Linked DNA regions of Lepisosteus oculatus. The protein of the gene in region 1 interacts with the protein of each later gene in a biochemical or structural test. Links are inferred from orthologs where the notes say so. Each region holds a gene or a part of one and is shown in the gene's direction. Other genes may lie near its edges.

What was found. The genes of interacting proteins can lie anywhere in the genome.
Region 2: of the proteins of cullin-5 (region 1) and ube2f, one has a biochemical effect on the other in vitro, tested with the Homo sapiens proteins (2 studies listed by BioGRID). The link is inferred for Lepisosteus oculatus from reciprocal best matches to the Homo sapiens genes CUL5 and UBE2F.
Region 3: the proteins of cullin-5 (region 1) and cbfb form a complex in vitro, tested with the Homo sapiens proteins (4 studies listed by BioGRID). The link is inferred for Lepisosteus oculatus from reciprocal best matches to the Homo sapiens genes CUL5 and CBFB.

Annotation. Positions count from the first base shown.
Region 1 is NC_090700.1:10,146,106-10,154,116, reverse strand, and holds the start of cullin-5, read left to right. Parts: upstream 1-4,649; 5' UTR 4,650-4,919; coding exon 4,920-4,943; intron 4,944-8,011. Other genes in the region: ras-related protein Rab-39A, read left to right, coding at 185-611. UniProt on the Homo sapiens protein: Core component of multiple cullin-5-RING E3 ubiquitin-protein ligase complexes (ECS complexes, also named CRL5 complexes), which mediate the ubiquitination and subsequent proteasomal degradation of target proteins.
Region 2 is NC_090707.1:7,789,538-7,797,733, forward strand, and holds the start of ube2f (NEDD8-conjugating enzyme UBE2F), read left to right. Parts: upstream 1-5,113; 5' UTR 5,114-5,351; intron 5,352-8,196. UniProt on the Homo sapiens protein: Accepts the ubiquitin-like protein NEDD8 from the UBA3-NAE1 E1 complex and catalyzes its covalent attachment to other proteins. Together with the E3 ubiquitin ligase RNF7/RBX2, specifically neddylates cullin-5 (CUL5).
Region 3 is NC_090715.1:1,078,934-1,086,477, forward strand, and holds the start of cbfb (core-binding factor subunit beta), read left to right. Parts: upstream 1-4,461; 5' UTR 4,462-4,834; coding exon 4,835-4,912; intron 4,913-5,648; coding exon 5,649-5,735; intron 5,736-7,544. UniProt on the Homo sapiens protein: Forms the heterodimeric complex core-binding factor (CBF) with RUNX family proteins (RUNX1, RUNX2, and RUNX3).

The DNA of each region.
Region 1 (8,011 bases):
TAGAAATACTCTGCCACAGTTCAAGTAATAGATTACAGTTGGCACAGTCCTCAAAAGGACAATTAGGGATTTAAGGTAAACAAAATGTTATGCATCTTCAATCCAGAGTAGTAGTCTGTATGTACAGTAGGAACAGATTCCGATTGATTAAAGTTACTGTTATTTTTTTTTATTATTATTGTAGGTCTATAACGCGTTCTTACTATCGCAACTCAGTGGGAGGACTCCTGGTTTTTGACTTGACCAATCGGAGGTCCTTTGAGCACCTGAAGGACTGGTTAGATGAATCCAAGATGTACGTGCAGCCCTTTGAGATCGTGTTTCTTCTGGTGGGGCACAAGTGTGACGCTGGACACCAACGGCAAGTGAGCCGGGAGGAAGCCGAGAGATTTGCGCTGGCTTGCGGGATGAAATACATAGAGACCTCGGCGAAAGACGCCACGAACGTGGAGGAGTCCTTCACCATCCTCACCCGAGACATCTATGAGCGAGTGAAGAGGGGGCACATAAGCATTCAGGAGGACTGGGAAGGTGTCAAAAGCGGTTTCATTCCAAACGTAGTCCACTCCTCCGAGGAAGCTGTAAAACCTGGAAGGAGGTGCCCATGCTAGCAAGTCAGACGTGAATTGTTCTTCAGCCAAAGACCGCAAATGCGACGGCGTGGGGTAGCTTAGTGCGCCCAGAGAAGACTGTGTGATGTCCTGTCAACAAGCTTTTAGATTACGCCATCCCGGTGCAGTCCTCTTGATCTGACCCAAGATGCTGTTCCTGTATTTAATCACTTGACTTGGGTTGTAAAACATTTCATAAACAGTGTAAAGAAATGCTCACCGTTGTGGTTCCCAAACGTTCTGAATCTATTGACTATAATTCCAGAACAAATTCACTTCTTTTAGGCTAGCTGGTTTTGTTTTTCCCATTTATGTGCGTGCATATTTTGTAAATAAACCTGAGGTTTTGGGAAAGAAGCTGCCTGAAAGACCAATATAGTAAAAACAGAGCATTTTTGATTTGTAACTCCAAGGTTGTTTTTTTATGTACATTTAACAATGCCTTTCTGTGAATGACTGTCTATAGTAATGTGCCTCCCTTCAGCAATAGGTCTTTGAAAGCAAGAAGCATCTGTTGTGATGTCAATTAAAGGGCTAAGAATGTATTTGAACAAAGTCGCTTGTCTAGTACCAAGAGAATATTTAAACAATTTGTGTTAGTGTTCCCCCTTCCCCCTTAATTCAAAGCCATTAGGAAGTCATTTTAAAACCACGAAAAAAAGGTAGAAAATTAAATGTGTGAAAAAATCTGCAATCTCGGATAAATTTGTGTGTAAAAACATTGATCCTTGTGAAACCAATTTTTATATAGGAATTGTCAGTTTCATGTGCATAACTTTAAGAGGATAGAGCTATACTTTTTGGTTTGTGAGAAAAATTGGCAGTAGGAACAAGTAAAGGTTAATTCCATGCTGAAAAAGAAATAAGAACGCCATCTCAGCAGCCTCTTTCAGATGTGGCACTACTTGTCAAGAGCACTTTTTCCTTACTGCCTGCAGCTCACAGCACCACTTGGGTGGCTGCTGCACTACACAATGAGGAAACCTCCCAGCCAGTGTGGATTACACACTGCCCCTTGGGGATTCCTAACCCAAGATGGCTGACAGTATCGCCAGGTTTAGATCAGCAAGATTGGAGCCCAACTCCAATCCACAGGAGTTGCTGTCCAGCAGGTTTTAGAAACTCTCCTTAAAAAAAAAACTCCAAAGACGAAGGAGAGGCTTCAACTTTTCCACTTAAGGAAAACAAGGAGTCCAATTGTTTGAATTTAAGAGCACAGGTGGAAAGAAAACCATAAAGCCTCTTGTCCTCCAAAACTCCAGGTTGTGCATCTCCTGCTCTATTATTTGTACACTCAAGGCACCTAAATGCAGCCTTCGACCAACAGGCTATAGAGTGTATCTATCCCACACCTGAGGATATGTTATTTTAAAGGGAAATGTATTGTTGCGCCAATGTTATATTCAAATAGGTGGAAAAAAGGGAATTGCGTTCAGAATGTCTCTATCCCTTGTAAGTGCGAGATTTAAAGCAGTGCATTTTTGGCTTTGAGGTACGGTTTCACAGACTCCAGAAGCCCTAGTCCTAGTATAACTTAACTTTAGGTAGCCAGAGACTAGAACTAATGAGAAACAGGCCTAAACGTATTTTGTGTTTTAGGACGATGTTCGCCTACAAAGAACAATGTTTCAGATTCTGGGACAGTAAGAATGAAAATGAGAATGTAATTTAAGGGACTTTAATGGCTAATGAGAGTGCAATGATCCCTCAGTGTTGTAGGGACTACACTCTGTGAATGTTGCCTTTTTGTGTCTTCCAAGGCTTGCCAAGAACGTTGCCTTAAGCAGATGGTGTTTTTACTTGCTTGAAAACTTGCATAAAGAAGATATGCATGATTGTGTGTTGTTCACTGATTAGATCAACTTTAAATTATTGCTTATACAAATGTGCTTAGATTGAGATCATCATGTGACTGTATTTAATAGATTACACACAACTTTAATATCATTAAAAACTCTAAACCAACAGTAATGTCTAGAGGAAATACTACTGCCTCTGTATTTCACAGACCACTGTTAAATGTGCACTTTTTCTCTTTCATGTAAAACTTTTCCTCATTAGATGGAAGATGCTTTGAATGGAAGCCAATTAAAAAGTTAAACTGCTATACTGTAGTTACTTTGTAATCTATTTGTTTTTTTTCAGTTATTTGAACTACAATGATTGTTGTCCACATTATATTTCGTTCTGCTGAAGTAACATTTCTCTGTCTGTCTGTTCACATTTCTAGTAAAACAGCTATATTTAGTGATAACACTATAGCATCATGCAGCTTGTGATGTGTAAAGGATGTCCTGGAGATTAGAGTTTTCTAAATGGATTTAAAAAATGCTTGCATAATCATGTACATTAAAAATGAACTGCCAGCATTTTATTGGTTTCGATGGATTTTTTAGTTCTTTATAATTTAGGACACTCAGAGACCAAGACTGAATCCACATCACACATGATGTAACACGTTATTCCAAATTCTAGGTATTAATATCTGACCTTAACGTTTTGTTTAAAAAATGGATTATTAATTCCTATGAACATTTAAAGTAGATTTATATCTGGGATATGCTGATCAATAGCTTACACAATATAATACTTTACCAAGGTGCAATATGCTTGCAATTTGATGTGGTTGTGTAAAACAGGTTTCTGCAATATTTATTTTTTTGCCCTACAACATATTATTTTAAAAAAGCATATACTGTAGTGTCCCCTAGTATGGGTACCATGTAATACCAAGTGAGAAGAGACATATAAATTATTCAGCGCTAACCAGAGATACAGAATCTCGTGAGACTCTTAAACATGAATTTGAAAATAGATATTGAAGGTGTCTATAAAGTAAGATTAACAACTATGTCTCAAAACCATTTACCTACAGAATAAAGGCTAATTAATCATTATATTTTAAAGTCCAGTAATCATTACTGCATAACTGAAATATTAATTAGGTGTGGAAGTATGTCAAGTATAATAATAAAAGTGGGTATGAGATCAATACTTAATTCAACTTTAGGTTTTATAAATTACTTAGAATTGTTTTACATTTTCTATAAAAGGCGCAAAGTGTAAAAATTGTTCACCTGAAAATGAAATAATTGAAAAGCAAACTTACCGCAGAAGCTTGCTTCTTTTAAGAGCCATTTTCTCTACAGAGTGTATTGTTGGACTGAAAAGGTTTATCGGTAAGGAAAAACTTCGGAACACTTTTTGTTTTTGTCTTCCGCATGATCCTTAATAGTTTGTGTACTTTGGGAAACTGTTTTGTTCACAGCAGGATTTGAAGGAAGAGGAGGATCTAAAAAAAAAAACTTGGCCCTCACTGCGGTAAAAAATGAACAGTTCCTAGAATTGAGGACTGCTGCGGCAGGTAAAAAAAAATGTAACGGCATAAAAAAAGTGTGTACACAGTAACTAAGTTAAAAAAACGGAAGATAAATTCATTGTTGAAAAAAACTTTAAAGACTTCTTTTAGCAATAACCCTGTTTCTTGGATACCGGCACACCATTTAATACAACAGTGCCACCTAGTGGACAACATCAAATAACAATTTGTGCAATCTGGTATTTTCATAATCATGTGAAGTTAAACTTGGGAAAAAAAACGTCTCCCCATTTCGGTTCTTGTCACTGATGACTTCATCTTAGCAAAATTTGCGTGTACGAGCTAATGCACAAAAGTGTGAGGAACAACCAAAACATGTTTTTGTAGCTGCAATTCGTCTACACAAGTCACAGGTTCCTCGACCACCTTGTTATTGGATCAGTAGCACTTCTGCATGCCTCTCTGTTCACACCATTTATAGGTTTTATGGGTCTGTTTGAAATTGTATAATTTCTGCCCCTGCAATACACAAGCCAGGCTCTGGATAATATAGTCATTGCAGTTAATGGACACAGCTCCAACTCGGAATCTTTCTTACGCTGTTTTTTTTTCTCTTGAACTGTCTATTCTGTACTGTTTCCCGGTCATGTGATATACCCTTGTATGGATCGACTTAGTTCGGCGAAGCTAAGTTTAGCATCCACTCAAATACATGACACGGTTCCAGTGAGTTGCGTTCGTGTTTTGAAGGCCAATGATTAAAAAAGGGATTGCAAATAACAATTGAATGCGTTCCACTACACCACATAATCAGTGCCCGATAACGAACTTAATATGGAATAGTATAAACTGTAATTTATAAAGGGACTATTTATATTTTAAAAACTTTGCCGACTGTATCTCAACATTACTCCATCTCTCAGGACCCCTTGGTAACTAAAGCCTTCGGAAATCTCGCGAGGCTGCGCGAGGGGATAAGTTGAGGGAACATGGCGACGTCTAATTTGCTAAAGGTAGGTGGCACTTCATTTTAATAATGATAGTATTTTGTGTAAGTAACGCTAATTCGTGATCGACTGTCTGCATTTTAAAACGCGGCTCTTTACAAAGACGGAGCGTTTGGGGGCAAGGTTAGAATACTACGTGTGTGCATATTAATAGAAAAGGGAGACAAAGCTATCTTTGGTGGTAAATATTATTGGCACTGGGTGGCTGATGTTCAAACTTACTTTCAGGATATGGGCCTTTTTAATTATACTAAAACAATAAAGATTTGTTATTTCTAAGTTTATTTTTATTTTTAGATATAATATACACCCTGACTGTTGTAAAATAACCAGCTAGCTGTGGTTGCCCGGATTTCTGTACGTGTTGTCAGTCTCACCAGGAATTCCGAGTTAAAATTAAAACAGTCGAAGCTTTGAGAGTGTTTTAAAGAGACACTGGATGTATCGGATACGAGTGGGGAAGTTCTATTTTATTAAAGGAGATTTCAGCTTACATAGCCTGTGAGCTTGTAGCTGGGCTACACGATGTACGCCATGCAATACAGAAATCCTAATAAATCATTCCCTGCTCTCAAACATCATGAGGATACCGGTGAGTGTTGAAGTGTGTATCGGGTCTTGTCTAATTTGAGACAGTTCGTATGACCACATATTTTTATTCTATGTTATAGATGTCAGAGCTCCTTAGTTTAATATTAAAGACTGAGATGCGTGATGTCATCTTTCCACGAAATTGTGAAGAATACATCGTATGCCGGGAAATTATGTAATAAAAATAACATTACCCAGTAGATTGTCTGAATGTAAATCCCACTGTGACAGTCGTTGAGGCATTAATGTTCAGTGTTAAAAGCTGCACTAGGCGAGGTGTGGGCACTAGACAAGCATCATGAGAGCTCGCCCAAATCTCTGCCGTTTCTCCTGCATTATTTTCAGCCACAATCTGGATTAAAAGCGCATACTTAAATAACTGTCAGCTGCGATTGACAAGGTTTGTTGTCTGTTATCTTATCCTTTGCTCTACCTTATTTTGACTTATCTTCCTAACATTAAGAGGAGAATGCAGAGTTTTTGCCAAACTTGTTCAGAACTGCAGCTTTTTGGGGGAAAAAATAATATCTAATATATAATGTAGGTTCATGTTCCGCAGTGGCATGCCATATAATGTCTAATACAGAGTTGAATAAACCCTGGTCTTGATGACTCACCCACCCGCTGGTTTGTGTTCCAGTTGAGGTCTTTCTTACATAATTAAGTCCTTAATTGACCTAATGGGATTAGTTTGAACTCTTTAATTGTTTTCTGTTACTTATATTCTGGAAGTTGCCTATTGTGTATGGCTAAGTATGGATCCCCACAGGAATTAGTAAAGAGAGGAATCTTTGCAAACTATCTCTCTCCTTGCAGCTCCAGGTCAGTGATGTGCATTCCTTATTTTCCAGTGCCATTTTTTAATGCATTCCAATTCAGGCCTAGTTAAAGCAGTTGCATAATGAAATCATACATTTATCATAGATGAAAGGTTTGGTATGGATTTAAAGTGTAATGCAAGCAAATTGGCACTACATCTTGCCTGTCGATGTGCAGCTCAAGTGAAGAAATCTGGGTTTTAGAAGAAGTTCTCCAGGCTTCAAGATAATTGAAAACACAGATCTTAAACATGTTTAAAATAGCACACTGTGACCCATGTAGTTATTTTATTTTTTAAACAGAAAAGTTGTGAGGTGTGATTGCATGCATTACCCTAGTCATCCGTAAAAAGATTAAATGGTTTGTCAAGGTTGATTGGGTCAATCACTTTTTGTTTTAAAAAAAGGATGTAAGCACTTATTTTTATCTTTGATTCCTGAAGTGTCTCTTCTCATCATAATTTTTTCAGTTGCCTGTTAAATTCTCCCTCCGTGCCAAGTACTTAACATTCAGCTGTACCCTCACTCCCCATGTTTCAGTTTGCTCTTCTAAATTGTATCCATTTGGAAAGCTGCCATTTCATCCCAGAGATACAGCTATAAAAATGCCTTTAGTTCCAGTTCTCCCTGAAATCATTTCTGTCCAGGTCACCTGTTGTGTATATCAGTGGAGAGAGTGCAGGGAACACTGAGATTTCTGAATACTGAAAGTTTCCTCCTTTTCCGGTGTGACTTGATTTTGAAGATGCAGTGTTAAGTGCCTCATTTCTGAAATTGGCTGAGTACAATGAGGATAAGGTTTAAGCATAATGCATTACAGAATTAAGCTGAGATTAAAATGGAAATGCAACTTTTTAAAAACTTTTAACAATGTATTATACAGCATAGAATTGTTGTGGGGGTGCATTCATGGTAATTCTCAGTGTGGTGCTGCAAATCATCATTTATTCCTCAAAGGCCTGTACCATAAGTACTGTACATATCCCTAAAGGGGAAGATGAACACCATTATTCAGACCAGTTGTCAGATCTACAACTAAATCACCCTTCTTAAATCAATCCATAGTATGTGCTGATACCCTAATCACTGTGCTGTTCAGTGCACGTGATAATTTTGTTTTTATCTGCAGGCCTGTGAGTAGTAAGTTACATAAACACCCAACTTTAATACCAAGCGAGCAGAAGGGATTATTTGAAGTTGACTACTGATGGTAATTACTTCAACCGAGTAGAGGCTGTAAATTCCAGACTTCAAAAGAGACAAGGCAGTGATCCCTTTAGGTATTGATCTTAAAATAACCATGAACATTAAAATTATAACCTCAAAAGCAACACTCTAGAAGAATGTTTGCAGTGTCTTATCGGATGCACAGCTTTGCTCCAGAGAGACAGTCAGTCGGAAAAGAGAGATTTTACGAGAGCCTGTTTTGCTTTACATGTGAGAAGAGAGGCAGGAGACTGGAGAGCATTGTGCAGCCAAAACATCCTCAAACAGTGGAGTGTACAAATATTTGAATATGGTCATTTGGTGAATTTGAAAATAATTTACAAAAGATGTTCAGTACCCATAGACTGCAGCATGTGGCTTTTGATTCTTTTTAAATGAAGCGAGATGGTATTTTCCCAGGTCCTTTCCTTCAAAAAAGTGGTATCGAACTGAATAAGC
Region 2 (8,196 bases), on another chromosome or scaffold:
ACTGTGCATGAAATATCCAGGACAGGCTGGCTGAGCAACGCCAGAAAAGCTGTGACATGTCCTTGGCTCTGTGTGTGCATGGCACTGCCATGGGGAACTGGTTCATTTCACTGCAGTAAAGCCAGTAGGCAGTTCCCTCAGCCAGGTAGGGTCCATTGAGCAGAACATGTTCTTGTGCTTAGCTGATATTCATTCCCTTTTCAGAGGCCCAGCTTGGAATACATTTTAATACATTCCGTCTAGCAAACTTCAGCAAGTGACACATCTCTTCCTGGTTCTGCGTCAAACTACTCTTTCAGTCACCTCAGTCTCCTCTGCAGCCCACCATAGAGGATAGCATAGAGTGACCGCCAAGATAGCCAATTTGAGTGATCAGAAAAATGAAAATGGCCTGAACTGGCCACTAGCATGCTTTTATTATTTTGTAAAAATTGCTTTTCCTGCACATGAATTGCTTTAATTTTTTCAGCTGGAATTTTCCATCCTTACCATACTTATGGAGGCTTCCCACAATTCAATGAAAGACATGGACCATCTAAGCTGGAAGGCTGTGCTGAGTAAATTATACCAGAGGGAAAGAAAGTTTTAAGGTCTTTGAAGGTTTTGTTTTGAGCTGCTGTCAGTACAGACAGCCATTATATTCTCACTTCAGTTAATCCAATTAGGACTCAGGATGGGTAATGTGTACAGACAGTGTAGCAGAACTCCACAAAAACTTTGGCCCCCTTCACATTTGAAGGCACCCGGCTCTGCTGTTTTGTATCCTTTTTGTTACAACAGATTAGTCTCAGTGCTTTTTGCTTCATGCAGTGTGTGTTTGAGAGAGAGACATTTGACTTGAATGCACTTATGCCTTCTTCACACTGAAACGGATTGGCGTGCAAGGCTTCTAAAGTCTTTCAGCTTTAATCTTCTGCTCTGTGGGCAGCTGAGAGCACACTGAATAAATGAGTTACTTTTTTTTACCTGTGCATCCAAGAGCATAGACTGCCCTTCAATCCCCTTTCACATCTGCCAGATGACTTCACTCCACTTCCAAATGTGCGAGATCACTGCACTTCTGCATCCATGGGACCCTGTGTCCAGGAGTATAGACATCCCATCGCTCCATGGTTTGTACCTCTATGAGTATTTACTCATGCAGAAACAGACACAATGTTATGTTTATTGTAATATCTTTATTATATACACAAATGGGGGTGGTGTAGCATGGTCTCTGGTCTCACACCTGATGTGGGTTTGAGTCCCCCCTGAAGACACTGCTGTTGCACTTTGAGAGAGGTACATAACCCCAGTTCACCCAGCTGTGTAAGTATTGCTGGAGGTAGGCTCTGCAATGGACTGATGTCCAGGAGAGGTGTGGGTGGGGGAGTCACATGCTCTCTAGGCCACCTAACACCACTTAATATCGGCCACACTGGTTCATGAGCTCTGGCCCGATGAGCTTATATGACTTGGATATGGAAATGACCTTACAGCACCTACCTACTTTCCCAAATAATGCATATGAAGTAAAGAAATACAATTTTGTCTTATCTTGGTCCTTGTTCTTGAAATGATGACAACAGGCATCTGTCTCTGCTAGCTGGAGAAAGCTGAAATCTATTCAACTTGAACACACAAACAGCACAGGTGTCTCGAGAGCACAGAACTGCACGGGCTTAAAGAGCACATCTCTTTGTTTTTCTCCAGATGACACATCTAGAATTCAAAAGGAGGATGAGTTAATGAGTTTCAGATTCAGAGGTAAATTAAATCATTTTCATCCATAGAAGTTCTGTCCTGCATTGTCTGATTAAACACTTTGTTTTTGATCGTTCCTATAGAAGACAGTTATTTTAATTATGGTTGGGATATCATGAAGTCAAAAAATAATTTTTGATAACAAACCTAATTATGCCATTAATATTGTGGTCAAAGTCTCTGCTGATTAAAATTTGCTCTTTGTAATGTAATATTGCATTTTGCAAATTGTGCTGGGACTGTATGAATAATTCACGAACTACTCTAATTCACGAGCTGCTCTGATGCATGCAAAATATTTTTAATCACATTATCACTAGTTCATTAAGGATCTAAAGAATGTCCATCTAAATAGATGTTTTAAATTTTCTTCTTTCAAAGAGATGTCCTCTTTTGTGCCACATGTAGTAAGTAGTGATCAGATTTTAGCATCATGCATCTATATTCTAACCACTTCTTTTAGTTCAGATGCCAAGGTGGAGCCTGAGTCTATCCTGGTATCCTGGCAAGCAGCTAGAACATGGCAGGATATACCCTGCATGGGAGACACAAACACAGATACACACACACTCACACCAGGGCCAATTTTCCCAGGCAAATAACCTACCAGTAGGTCTTTGCACTGTGGGAGGAACCCACACAAGTACAAGGAGAATACACAAACTGCACGCAGACATCGCTCCAGGTTTGGAACTGAGTCCAGGGCCCCAGCAGTACAAGGGCCAATGCTAACCACTGCTAACCACAGCTCCACCTCATGTCATGGAAATCTTTTATTGTATTGTGCATGTATTAAGAGCCTTTCAGCTGCTTGAGAATAACGTAGAATACAAACGAAAAAGCAGCCAGGGCAGGAGTAACATGTTCTTTTATTTTAGGAAGAATGCTAACAACCTCTTTCTGGTAGCATTATGAGCTCACAACTAGTTGTTGAATGTATTGTGTTTTGAAAAGCTCCTCTTCAGGTACTCCTCACATGCTTATGCAAATTGTACTTAAGATTTTTACATTTTATTTTTGTCGTCACTTAAAAAAGATATTTTTGCATCTGAATAGTTTAATAAAAACAAGCTCCTTGTGGCAAACCAGAACCTTTTATATGATATTAGGCTTCAGTGTCTATGAAATTCTTAATATCACATTGAAAGGAAAATGAGCATGCTTTAATTATTTACTCATTTTAGCTTCTTGCTGTTCTTTCTAGTCTCATTACAAAAGATCATTATCTAGTGTGTAGCTTTTCTGACACTCCTGCTGAACCAGGAGCAGAATCCAGAGATGTAATTTCCTCTGTGGCATCTCTAGGCCTGGAAAAAAAATGAAAGATGCCCTGATATTCTCGGAGACTGTGACACAGCAGTGCTGTAGGCAGAAATGAGCCCTAGATCAGTTTTAATGTGATGCCACATTCCGCTTCTCAATTGTGAATTGCATGAACTCATTTAATGATTTTGGAATTGTGCCCTTTCTAAGGTGAACACAAACCACATTAAATCACGGCAGCCAAACAAGACAGGATTTCCACTGTTTCACTGCAAAGAGACACTGGAAAAGTCTGGACTAATTTATAACAATTTTCTGTCAGCCACATCAATCTTGATACTATACTACACCACGAACCCTTTCACACAAAATGGAAACGGTAGTGGTGAGCTCCACACACCCAACTGAAAGACTGTGGGTTCAAATCCCAGGTGGTTATACTCTAGTTGTACTCTTGAGCAAGGTAAACAGGTAGAATCCAGACCAGAGCCACACAGCTCACGGGGCCAGAGGTCATCCTGGTTTCTGTAGCGTTCCAAGGATGAGAGAGAACTTCTGTCAGGGAGGACCGGAGTAACTGGTGTTACATCATGCCCCTGGAGAACTCACCACCCTTAATCAACTCCTTCAAACTCCAGTGCAGTTTCCAATGAACTAATCAGACACACCTTCTTCCATCTGCCTATTTAAACCAACCTGACACACTACTCCTTGCTCAGTATTGGGTTTTACCTAGCTAGAGCTGCATTGTATCTTGTTCTCTGTTTTGCAAGATTTCTAGGTTTTTGGCACTGACCCCTGGCTTTGTCTCTGACTTCGTCTTCTGGATCTTGACTTGGTTATTGTGGATTTACTGGTTTTTTGACCCTGGCCTGACCTCCTGACCCATGATTTTGGAGAAACTCCTGCTGGTACTTTTGAGTTCAGAGGATTCTGCTTCTTCTGCACCGTAACAACTGGGGTACAGTGCCTCAGTCAAGGGTACCACAGCAGTGTCTGTAGCAGGGACTCAAACCCACAACCTGTCAGCATAGATTCTCGTCTGCCCTTAAGCACAGTACAATGCGTTCCCCCAGATAACATGAATAAATGCCCCGCTGTATGAATGGGTCAATGAGAATTTGTTCTGACACTGTCCTACCTGGGAATATAAAGGAATGAGTGATCCATGAAAGTGTGCCCAGGTGTATAAACATACAGCACCCAGACAGAGCTGTGGGACTGTCAGTGACCTCATACTGGAATGGGGCTGGGGCCCATCTGGAGGTGCAGACATGTTTCTTGTCCAGCAGTGTCTGTAACCACAATGCTCCTACTGGTTCTGCTTCATGGAAACAGACAGCTGTCCTTACCCACCCCTCATTCACAGAAGGGAGCCTAGCAAGGAAGCCCATGCTGAAATGCTCAAATGCTGAAACCCTAGTTCTTCTCTATCATTCTGTTCATTTAAGGATGACATAAATATGGGAATCAGTCATGCAAATTGTTGATAAAGATTCTATAGAAATGTACATACTGTAGTACTTCCTTTTGAAGACTCATGCATAAGCACTGGCTGAATCACTGTCTAACACTGTAGCTCAATGAAGTCCAGGCACTTTCTCCATCTAAGGCCATAGGACTATATTCTTCTCTGCCAGTCTCTGGGGTGGGGGTCCTGGACTCAGCTGCTGCAGCCACATACACCATGTGACAGGCAGCCAGGCAAATCTATGAGCATATTGTGGTGGACCCTGGGTTTGGTTTCAAGTGTGTTTTATGTGTGGTGTCTGCATGTTGTTTGGATGGGTTTTCTCCTATAGTCCAAACACACGCTGTCCAGGTTAACTGGTGTCTCTGTGATTGTCCTCTGTATGTGTGTGTCCTCTCTCTCTCTCTGTGTGATAATGACCTGAGTCTATCATTGTCTTAATTTGATCATTTTAACAGATCTTTAAGCTATTTAATGATGTTGATTTTAATTAGACAATAAAACCTCTGGACAAACCGGGCCTCCAGCACTGGAACGGGAGACCTTTGTTCTGAGGATGATTAAACGGTTTCTGATGATACCGGATAAATACACGTAATAGAAACAGCGGAACTATTGTTTAAGTGTCGCGTGTGGTGGTCGGACGATTTTACCAGAGGGATCAGAAACGGCACTTCCGTCTCTGGTAGTGGTGTTTTCTAGAGTTTAAAGCTGTGAAATTTCCAGAAAATCCATATCCTAATCACCTTTTTTTTTTTTCGGGAGTTGTTTCTAACCGACATAGTGATCTGCGGCTTGAGCAGCGGACAGACCTGTGCTTGTGGTCGGTGTTTAGTAATGGTGTAATCCGGAACGCTTTCTTCAGAGACAGCAGGTAAACAGAAAAAAAAAAACAAGGAAGGCGTTAAAACGCTTTCGCGAAAGCCAGTTTGAACCGAACAGAAGAATTGTGAATGTGTTCCGCGATGAGGTTCGCTAAATGTCCCTCTGGTGGATTCCGTTTAAAATGTTTGAATCAATAGTTTTTTTTTTGTTGTTGGTGTAAAGGCATTCTCTGGATGTTCTCGTTTGTTGTATCGGTATTTACTGGAAGTGAGCTGTTTGGAATGTAGTGATATGACCGGCATCTTCTGTTTTTTACAATTTCTGTCTTGACAGCTGTATTGTAGTGTGACCCGAAGGACATGGGTGTCACTGTCCTTTTGAAAACGTTGATATATTCTTAGGAACTGGGAAGCTGATTAAGTATTTGTTGTGATTCCTTCCGCAATGGACTGGATGATACCGTATTGTGGATTGTTTGCACTGACATCCCGGTACAAGCAATTCCTGAAGTTTGATGTGAAATGAATATTAACAAATGAAGTGTAATTTCAAATAATGAGGTGTCTATGGATTTAGTTAGAATCGTGAATGCTCTTTTTTCCTTAGCGAGTCAAAACGCATTATCACGCGGATTTAAAGTCCTTGTTATATTTTATAAGCTAGTGAATTCTAATAAGTAATAATACATGTTTTATTTAACCTGGAGGTGTATGAGAGTTAAATTGTAGGCTCTTATTCAAGAGGCCTAGTCACTGCTTCCTTCAAGGTGTTTTTTCCCCAGATTGCTGGCACTGCTCCAGAATGTGGTGTTAGTTTTATGGAATGAAAGGGTTAGTATTTTCTAAGCAGTCCGTGGTTTATAGATAACCTGCAAAACTAGCAGAATTGTGGCTATCTTGCTACCTACAGCAGTGTGCCACTACATACAGATGTATGAGTTCTCCTAACTGCTGCAATGCAGGCTCTGGTATACTGTGGATTTCAGGAATTCTGCAAGATAGGGGCTCAGTGCAGGATTGCTCTTGTCTGCATAGAGGGACTGCAGAACCGCTGTGTACGGGTTTCTCTGGGAGCCTTTTTAGAGGTACACCAGTGCCTTTTTAATTGACTGTTCAAGTGACCATAATAAAAATGTTATAACTCAAAGGATTATACTTCAGGTTGTTTCTTCTAGATTTAAATCTATACTAAACACATATGTTGAGTAATCAGATTTTTATCATCTGTAATTAAGATAAATCTTACTATTGTGCAGTTCTACATATGTGCTGCTACATTTATCTTTTTTTTAACTTTATTCTATCTTGGCTCTTCAGATTGTCTTCTCTGTATTGGACATTTCTGGCCTAAAGTGAAATTCTGGGACAGGGTTAATGGGGAGGGGTTGCAGAGTCCTCACTAGCTCTAGGGAAATTCTCTGGTTTGAGAACCAGTACAGTGAATTTGTCAGTATTTCACAGATCATGATATAGATGGAGTTATAAAAACCACAGTCTTTCATGTTCGTAAGTGACTCTAACAATGAAGGGATAATGCTGTGAACAATGAACTTTCTTATAAAAGAGTTATCAGTTTTTGCATAAATTATTCAGTGATATTTTCCCATGATAGTAAATTTAACCCACAATACATTTTCAGACATCACCTTTTTAAAGAGGCCTTCTTGGTTTTCATGCCTGGTTGTCCTGCAGTATGAAGAAGAAAAATAAAAACTGAAAAACGGATTATGGCTCAACTTGCCACGTTTGGAGTGGAAGGAAGAAATACCATAGCAAATGTCAATCACAGATCGGAATCACAGCAGAATCATTTTCTGGTGTGGAGGTGATGTCTGGGGATTCGGAACTTTAATGGGGTGCTGTTCTATTACCCATGAGCCAGGCACTTTGCTCAGATTTTCAGTAAAATGCTGCACTGGATAATTAGGTCCAAATTTAAGATTTTGTAGCTAAAACTGTCTTCCAAGTAAATGAATAATACCTACCCCTGGGAGGCTTTGTCCCAGTCCTGTAGTTAACAAGGGGGCTGGGCTGTTTGTGACAGCTGTTGGAAACGGAGTGGGGGAGGGGCACACCTTTGGCTCAGACATGTATAGGAATCGCTGTGACATGTGATACAGGGCATCTCATGAAGCAGGAAAGAGCACCGGGGGAGAGCAGTGTGCTGCAGGACGTTCAAACAGCGCTGCTGAGGGCAGCGCTTTGCCCAGGGAAGCCCAGTCTGTCCCTGATTGCTGTACAAATGGCCTTTTCTAACTATGTTAACTATATTTTCTTCGTGCCAGAGTCTGTGTGGATGTGTTTACGCATTAAAGAAATAGAAGAGCTGCTTTCAGATACTCCATCTGAAATGGATCTCTTATCCCATGACTTTTAAAGTTTCCACCACACTATGTAAGAGTGTTAGTGTGGGGAAGGGACAAAGGAGAGAGGACAGAGGAGGTCAAAGAACTGGTTTATTTGATCTGTATTTCCTGTTATTTCACAGAGTGGCTCTCTGCTGTATTGAGCCGTACAGATGCTCATTGACCACCCCAGCAGACATGGCTATTGACAAGACTTCTCAGAAGTCTCTTACAGGCAGTACCTAGAAGAACAAGTTCTCAGTACACGACTTTATTTGCTTTGTCAGCAAGGCACTAGAATGCAAAATCGTTTGATTCCAGTCAATTCATAACTTTTGTGATGATAATTAATTATAATAATACATAACCAGTTTTTATGTGTTCCACTTTTAGACATTGGAGAGAAAACGTGCACCCTCTGGCCTACTTTGTTTGGGATGCTGTATCAGGGCATTAGGAAACGTAGTTATCGGGAAATATAACAGACTGCTTCGTATTGCAGTCCAGAGCATTTCCCATATATTGGAACAATTAAATTATAAAGAAGGAC
Region 3 (7,544 bases), on another chromosome or scaffold:
TACTGAGGAAACACACCCGCCTGCGACCAAGTTCCCGTTCTCTCCAAGGACACCCAGGGGTCCTCTGTGTCCCAGTCTGGAGGCGTCTGCTGTTTTTCAGAAGCCTGAAGGCCGAGCCGTTCGGTCAACGATAATGAGATCAGCAGGCGCCTGGCACCTGGCTCTCCTCACACTGACGGGCCAGGGGCGCAGTGCTGCCAGGGCTCCAGGCTCCCGGCCGGCACCACTGGAGCTTCCGAAGCTGTCAGGACATCGGACGGGGGGAGATCCAGTCTGATAGCCCACCAGATGAGGAGCAGTACTGCGTGTGTCTGTTCAGGGAAAAGGCTCCGAGTATCAGCAGCTTCCAGGACAGCCCAACACAAGGACAGATGGGTACTCCTTGATCAGTCTGCTTGATTGATCTGCTCTGTAGGCACACACAAGCTCTACAGCACGTTCTGGATAACAAGACACACCAGAGAGCAGTTCATGTTCTAAAATGCTGAAATAAAAGGAATGTGTGATATTGGGGTTTTGAATAAAAAATGCAGCACACTGGCCAGATTCTAGTGGACAGGTTTGCCCCCCAAAAGGCCTTTCCAGGTGAAGGGGTGCAGTCTGTGTTCCCCTAGACCTGGCCAGGACAGGAGACCCCCACAGTCAGAGACCAGCGAGGGGAGGGAGAGACACATGAGAGAAGACAAATGACATGCAGGACGACTGTTTCTGTTCATTTATTTTGATGATGTTTCTGCTATATTTAAATATCATTCGAGGTGTAGAAACACAATGCAAGAGGGTATAAATAAACCAGACACAGCACAGAGACTCCACGGACAAACACTACAGTCTCACAGCAGTTTCGTTTCTTATCTGCTAGGCAATGAACTAGCTGAAGAATCTTTCAGTTTCACTAAGAAACTGGGTTCTTTATTGAATGCTCAAGGTGGTGGACCCGAGGTTTGGAAAGCTTTGTGTGAGGTCAGAGCTCACCATGAGGCTAACAGTGCATCAGGAAAGTAAACTGTTATTATGTCGAATATTTCTCAAGTTGTGTTGTTGTTGTAGCTTTAGCTCAAGCAACTATGTTCTAACTTGTCGAATTCTGAAATGACATTCTGATAATTGTAGTGCTGGCTTGGGAAGAAACAACATTTTTTTTTCTGATTTCACAAACATTATTTAAAAGTGATATAAATGACGGCCGGGCCTGTAGAAAACTCAAGGAAGGTGTTTAGTCAGCAGAGAGTGAAGAGCTCTTGTTGTCTGGCTAGGGCTCATGGAATATTTAATATGGAAATGCGACTTTCTCACAAATGACAATCTGTAGGGAATAAATTATAGTGAGGATCCAGAGGCAGAGAACCAGAGAAAGAGGGCGAGAGAAACGCAGACAGACAGCAATGGCTCAATAACCATTCTACTGAAAACAATTCAAACAGACATCTAGCATCAGCTCTTTTAAGTGCTTTGTCAAAACTAGTGCTCTAGACCACAAAAATGTTAATTAATTAATAAGCATTTTGTGGTGCTATTAAAGCACTTACATGCACTATTTGGCAGTGCTCTAGGCCGCCTTTTAACAGATTTATTAACAGCAGAGACCGGAGATCAGAGTGCCAGAGCATGCCATGCTGCGAGGAGGAGGTACTCTGGCTTGCCCCTGGCCCTTCCTGTTCCTGCGATCAGCTGGCAAGACCATCTTCACAGCGGGACAACACCCACCCCGAGCTGCCTGCGGAGAGGACCCACTTACACAGCACGAGCAACAGCCTAACATTCTGCAGAAAGCAAGCTGCCTCCAATTCCAAAGGCAACCATACAACAACAAGCGAGGGGGTTCCTTTGCTGGGGGGGTGGGGGTGGGATAAACATCTGAGGAGACAAAATGATGTTTCCACGTGTCAGCACCTGTGTCATGTGAGGACTACACACCCTCTCCCTAATTGCTGATTTTTCTGGAGGAGCAGTGATCTCAGACAACAACAAAACTGTAGGAGACACATCAGTGTTGACACACGCTACCCTCCAGTGCACACACACAGCCCGGTTCTTCAGTACCAGCACGATCTTTATCCAATCTAATTTCCCCTCTCTCCCCCCGACACATCTCAAACACCAACTCCAGATTGTTCTGCACAAGTGCAGCACACAGACTCGATTTACTTCATACTTCTAAGTCAGGAATCTTTAAATAAATAATCACCGGAAAAACACTGATCTGAAAAAAAACTGAGCTCTTCTTATTTTTTCATGTCAGGAGAAAACAAAGTGGAAATGTCTGCTGTGCTGTAGTGAGAGGTCTAGTTAGCGCAGCTGCCAGGGAGATCTGTTCCATGGTACTTCGTTAACGGCCTTTGGGAAATCAGCTCTGACAGTGACCCAGTCTTGTGAAGAAAGAAAAACACGTTTTCAACAGAAAGAAATCTTCTTCTTGTGCTTTTGAAAATATTAAAGATAGAAAAATTGGTTCATAAAAAAACATCCAAAACTGACATGTCAGCAACCTCAATGAGATGTTCTCATCATGTTCATGATACAGTCCTGGACACAATCTTTTGGCGCCTTTTCCCAATGTCAGACTGAGAGTCCTTGCAAACCCATTTAACTCGAGGACGGATTGCTTTAGGGCCCCGGGACCTTGTCTTTCACCCTGGTCCTGTCTCCATCCAATCAGCTCTGCCTTGCCAAGATACTAAGCCCGGGGCTGCAGAGCTCATCTCAGGCAGCCTCAGCCACACGCCTGGTCTCTGACACGCTCTGACATCAGAGAAGAGAACTGCAAACTCCACACTTCTGACATCTAAGTTACACTTCTGCTTTTAGGAACTTCTCCTTTTCCACAGATAAAACACAGCACAGACCTCCTGCACTCATCGTGTGGCCCTAGATGTCACCGTCTCACAGGAGACAGGGCCAAAGACAGTGGCATGGAAAAAGCAGATCTAGATTTCACACCTGACAGCTCATTGGAAGACCATTTTCTGATATTTCTGTTAAGATATTGCTGCCAACACCTGACATCAGTTGTGTCAATTCCTGGACAGCCATACTGGTGTCTTTTTTTTGTTCCACCCTTAGTGGTCAATTAAGTAACTTATTATCTTTGGTAGGCGTATCCAGAATGTTCTGTAAGGCTATCACAGTGCCTTAGCAACCATGTCACCCTGTAGCTCACAACTGGCAGCCTACTGGAGCTCAGCAGGTGTGAGCCTGGTCAGTACCTGGATGGGAGACTCCTGGGAAAAACTAAGGTTGCTGGTGGAAGAGGTTTTAATGGGACCAGTAAAGTGGTCTGTGTGGGTTCTAATGCCCCAGTATAATGACGGGGACACTATACTGTTAAAAAGTTTAAATGAGACATAAAAATGGGGTCCTGACTCTCTGTGGTCATTAAAAATCCCAGGGCGTTTCTTGAAACGAGTAGGGGTGTTACCAATCATGGCCACCTAATAATCCCCTTATCTGAACTGGCTTCATCACTCTGCTCTCCTCCCCACTGAGAGCTGGTGCGTGGGGAGCGTACTGGTGCACTCTGGCTGCTGTCTCATCATCCAGGTGGGGCTGCACACTAGTGGTGGTGGAGGGGATCCCCATTACCTGTAAAGTATAGTGGAGTGTGCAGAAAAGCACTATATATAATTGTTAGGGCTTTAGTTAGAAAATCACGTCATTCAAAGGAGAGTGTCCTCCACCTCTATCGAGCTCAGAGCCCAGTTAGGAGGATCACAGTCGGGGAGACAGTTTCGCATCTCTAGCAAGAAAACACACGACAATATGAACGATAACACAAGATTTGTAAAAGGGAACACAAAATACCGTCACAACACCCGAAAATTGTCATGCTTCGCCGCGTAAAGAAGAACACTCCACCAAATCGGGCTTGTCGATACCTGTGCTTTATTTGAATGAGTTCAACATGTAAATAACGTTTTTTTTTTTCCCCGTCGGCAGGTAGGCGCGCTGTCTCGCACTTCGTTAGAAGACGAATGTTTCCGAATGGCACAGAAACAACTCAGGAAGACCCCCAATGCTTTTCTAGCGCATGCACGAAAAACATAACCCGTAGTACGCTGAGACCATGAACACAATGGTAGAAAAATACGAGTTCGGAAACAAATATTTAACAAGATTTGCTAAATAAAACTTAGCATGTATTGGCATCTAAAAGGCGTCATATCGTTAGAAGAGATTTTGTTACAGATTCTCTGAGCAGACGTGAAACAGAATGTTTTAAAAATAAATCAAATATTAATCTTTTCTTTAAATAAAATGAAACCAAGACACAATGTGCCCAGTATCTCGATTCTGAAGATTCAGAAGCTTGGTGGAACACACGTTATTATTAAATTATTAGTAGTAGCCCCGCGCGGCTCTCGAGCAGGCAGGCTGCCGCGCTGGACACGCTTGCGCGCGGCGACACGCCAGGCGGAGCGCGCCTGCGCACAGCGGAGCGGAGTGAGAATTGTGAATGGGGGGAGCCCTGGGTGTGCAGTCGTAAGTACGACTCAGAGGAGCCAGGAAGTAACTTCGAGCTGAGCTGCGCAGAGAGACGGTTACGGGGAAAAAACGCGGAGAGCCAGCATCGTTGTTGAAGGAGGACGGGCGCACACGCTGGACGTGAGGGGTAGCCTAGCCAGGCACCAAACCGACCCGACACTCTCTCGGACTGGGGGGCTGAGCGCGGCGCCCCGCTGGAACCCCTCACACAGAGCGGACTGTACCTTACCTCACACGAGAGGAAGGAAGAAAGTTTAGAAGCGGGATCTGGGAGAGTTGCAAAGCTTTCTCTGGCGCTCGAATCGGTTTTCTTTTCCTCTCATTTTTTTTGGGGGGGTGAATAATTGTAAAGATGCCCCGAGTGGTCCCCGATCAGAGGAGCAAGTTTGAAAACGAGGAGTTCTTCAGGAAACTGAGCCGGGAGTGCGAGGTGAGCAAGTATTTCAGTGAACACATCTGTGCTGAAGTGGCGGAAAAGATGCTCGCTTTCAGTGCAGCATCACGCTGAAGTTTGGGGGACGGGGGCTGTACGTCTTGCCCTGCGCCCGGTGGGAGATGAGCGTGGGATTTTGCTCTTTTAAATGTGACTTAACCGCGTGAGCTTTGATGTCTGCTGGAGTGTGTTTGTGTTGAATCAGTGGAAATGTGCTGTTTTCGCAATAAACTTCCTGTTTGAAACGGGCGATGGGAATGGTCTAGCCGTCGTAGTCTGGCTTGCTAACATTACCCTTTCGTTCTGTGCGTACTCAGGCGACTGTCTAGTAGTGTTTATTAAGCGTCGGGGTTTCCTGGTAATGTTTGTGGATATCCTGAAGAAGACCGCGCGAGTCAAAGGTTATTTTTAAAAGCCTCCAGTGGAGGGAGGGTGGGAAATGTGGCCGGAGAGACGGACTGAGCGAGGCAGATGCCGTGCGCTTCCTGCGGGGAGCTTGGCTCCGTGTCTGCGCAGCGCGGTGCCGAGGAAGAGACCCAGCCGGGAGCTCAGCGCTCCTGAGACGCCTGGCAGCAGGGGTGGGTGAGGGAGAGAGACAGCACCCTGTTTGTCAGCGCGGAAATCGCGCAGAATTTAAATACGGGTCAGGGGGCTGCCTGCTGGCTTTCGGGCAGACGCCAACGCGCATCTTTGATTGAGTTTTTCTTCTGCCCGTCTGCCCGTCTTCTTCTAGATCAAGTACACCGGCTTCCGAGACCGGCCCCACGAGGAGAGACAAGCGCGTTTCCAGAACGCCTGTCGGGATGGGCGTTCAGAAATAGTAAGTGAGCTTGCCTTTAAACCCGTCTCCCCGTGCACCTCCAGCGGATGCTGGATTTTGAAAATCGGAATACAGACCTGAAGACCCTGATTCGCCCGGGAAAATGTTAACACAACTTTCACAACCTTGGAAATAAAAAGAATTTCGCTGTTTCCTTGTAAGAGCCGAGACGGCGGCTCGATGAATGAATTATGTCTGGACTGGTCTTAACACATCATTCGTCTCCTCCTTCCTTCGATATTTACAGGACTCTTTCGTAATTAGACCCCTGTAGCTTTATTATACAGTGTTGCTCAGCACACACATGACGGAAACGTCCAGACTGACGGATCTGACGGCCCAGTGCGGACCCTGTACTCATGAGCTATAGGTGCAAAATAACTGGGTGTCGAGAAGGTTGGTGTGGCTGCTTTTGTGGGACCAGAAACAGTAAACAGTGTACTATTATGATCATAATAGTAATTATTATTATAATTCTAATATTATTATTATTAGCAATAATTTAACGAAATTCACATTTGTTTACGTGGCTTCTTAAGGATCTCTTATTTCCGCTCCGAGACACGACACAGTAACCAGTCTTTGAATCGCGGGGCGACTGGGGAAGCGATTGGAAAGCGGATCATGTCCAGATGTGTCTAAGTGGCACAACGAGAGTCTTCAGCAACCTGCCGCTGAAGTATTTTAAAAACCTGCCGTGTCCCGATGTTGATCCTAGTTTCATGTTGCAGCCATTAATATAAACCGGCATTATTGGATTGACTTTTGTCTCTGGATGAAGAATATTTCCAGGGAGAGTTTTTTTTTAATCAATACTCCGTGGATGACGTAATGATCAACAGTTCTTGTTCAGGCGCTGTGTATCTGAAAGCGCACTGAATTGGAGAGAAAGTAAGAAAGTACTGCTGGATAAAGCCTGGCAGTAAATGAAAGCGATTTGCTTAATGCAAATGCTACTCGGAGCTCCATTTCTTTACTGAGAGCGAAAGATGACCTAGCGTGGAAGTGTGAAAGTCGACTTCTCGCTCTGAAAGCCCAGCGCCCTGGCCACTCCGGCTCCGAGCGAGGTGGCACCGTGTCACTGTGGTCTTTTGTTTCAAGTACAGCCCCTGCTCTTTCTCAGAGATAATTATCCACAGGGGGCTGACTTGCCGCGAACAAGCTGTGAAGCCTACTGAATGAACCTGCCACACTTCCCTACTGACGTATATTAAATCCAGTTTTCATTATACAGGACAGGTCTGCTTAGTGTTTGCTCTTTGTTCCCTTGAGAGATGCCCCCTGTTTATTAAAAAAAAAACATCTAGGTTAAAGCTAAATGATTTCCACACCTCTTTTTCTGAACACAAATCACCAGATTGCAGACTCAAAAGGGCTGGATTCAGGTACGTTCGATTACAAGAAACAAAGCTAGATTTGTTAGGGGGTTTTTCAAAGTGATATTAAAAAAAAAGAAGTGTATACGTTTTTATTTCCAGATGCGCAGTCTGGATCATACTTCGAGCACAGCGCCAGGCTTTCAGACTCCCGGTTATTAATGTCAGCAGAAGGACTAATTTAAAATAATATATTGATTTTTTTTTTCTTACGGCAGTATCCTGTGTCCCTTGCAGCCAGTGGTGAATGTTGGTAAAATAGAATCAGATGTTTGAAACTCGATATTTAAAAAGAAAATGATGACTCTGGAGTGTTTTTCTGGTGCTCTCTGAAGGCTGCTGGCTCGTGGCTCTCAGTGATGTAAAAAATAAATGACTTGACTGCATAATTTATGTCTCGTTCAGCTTCTGATCCTGTTTGTATTGATTTTTC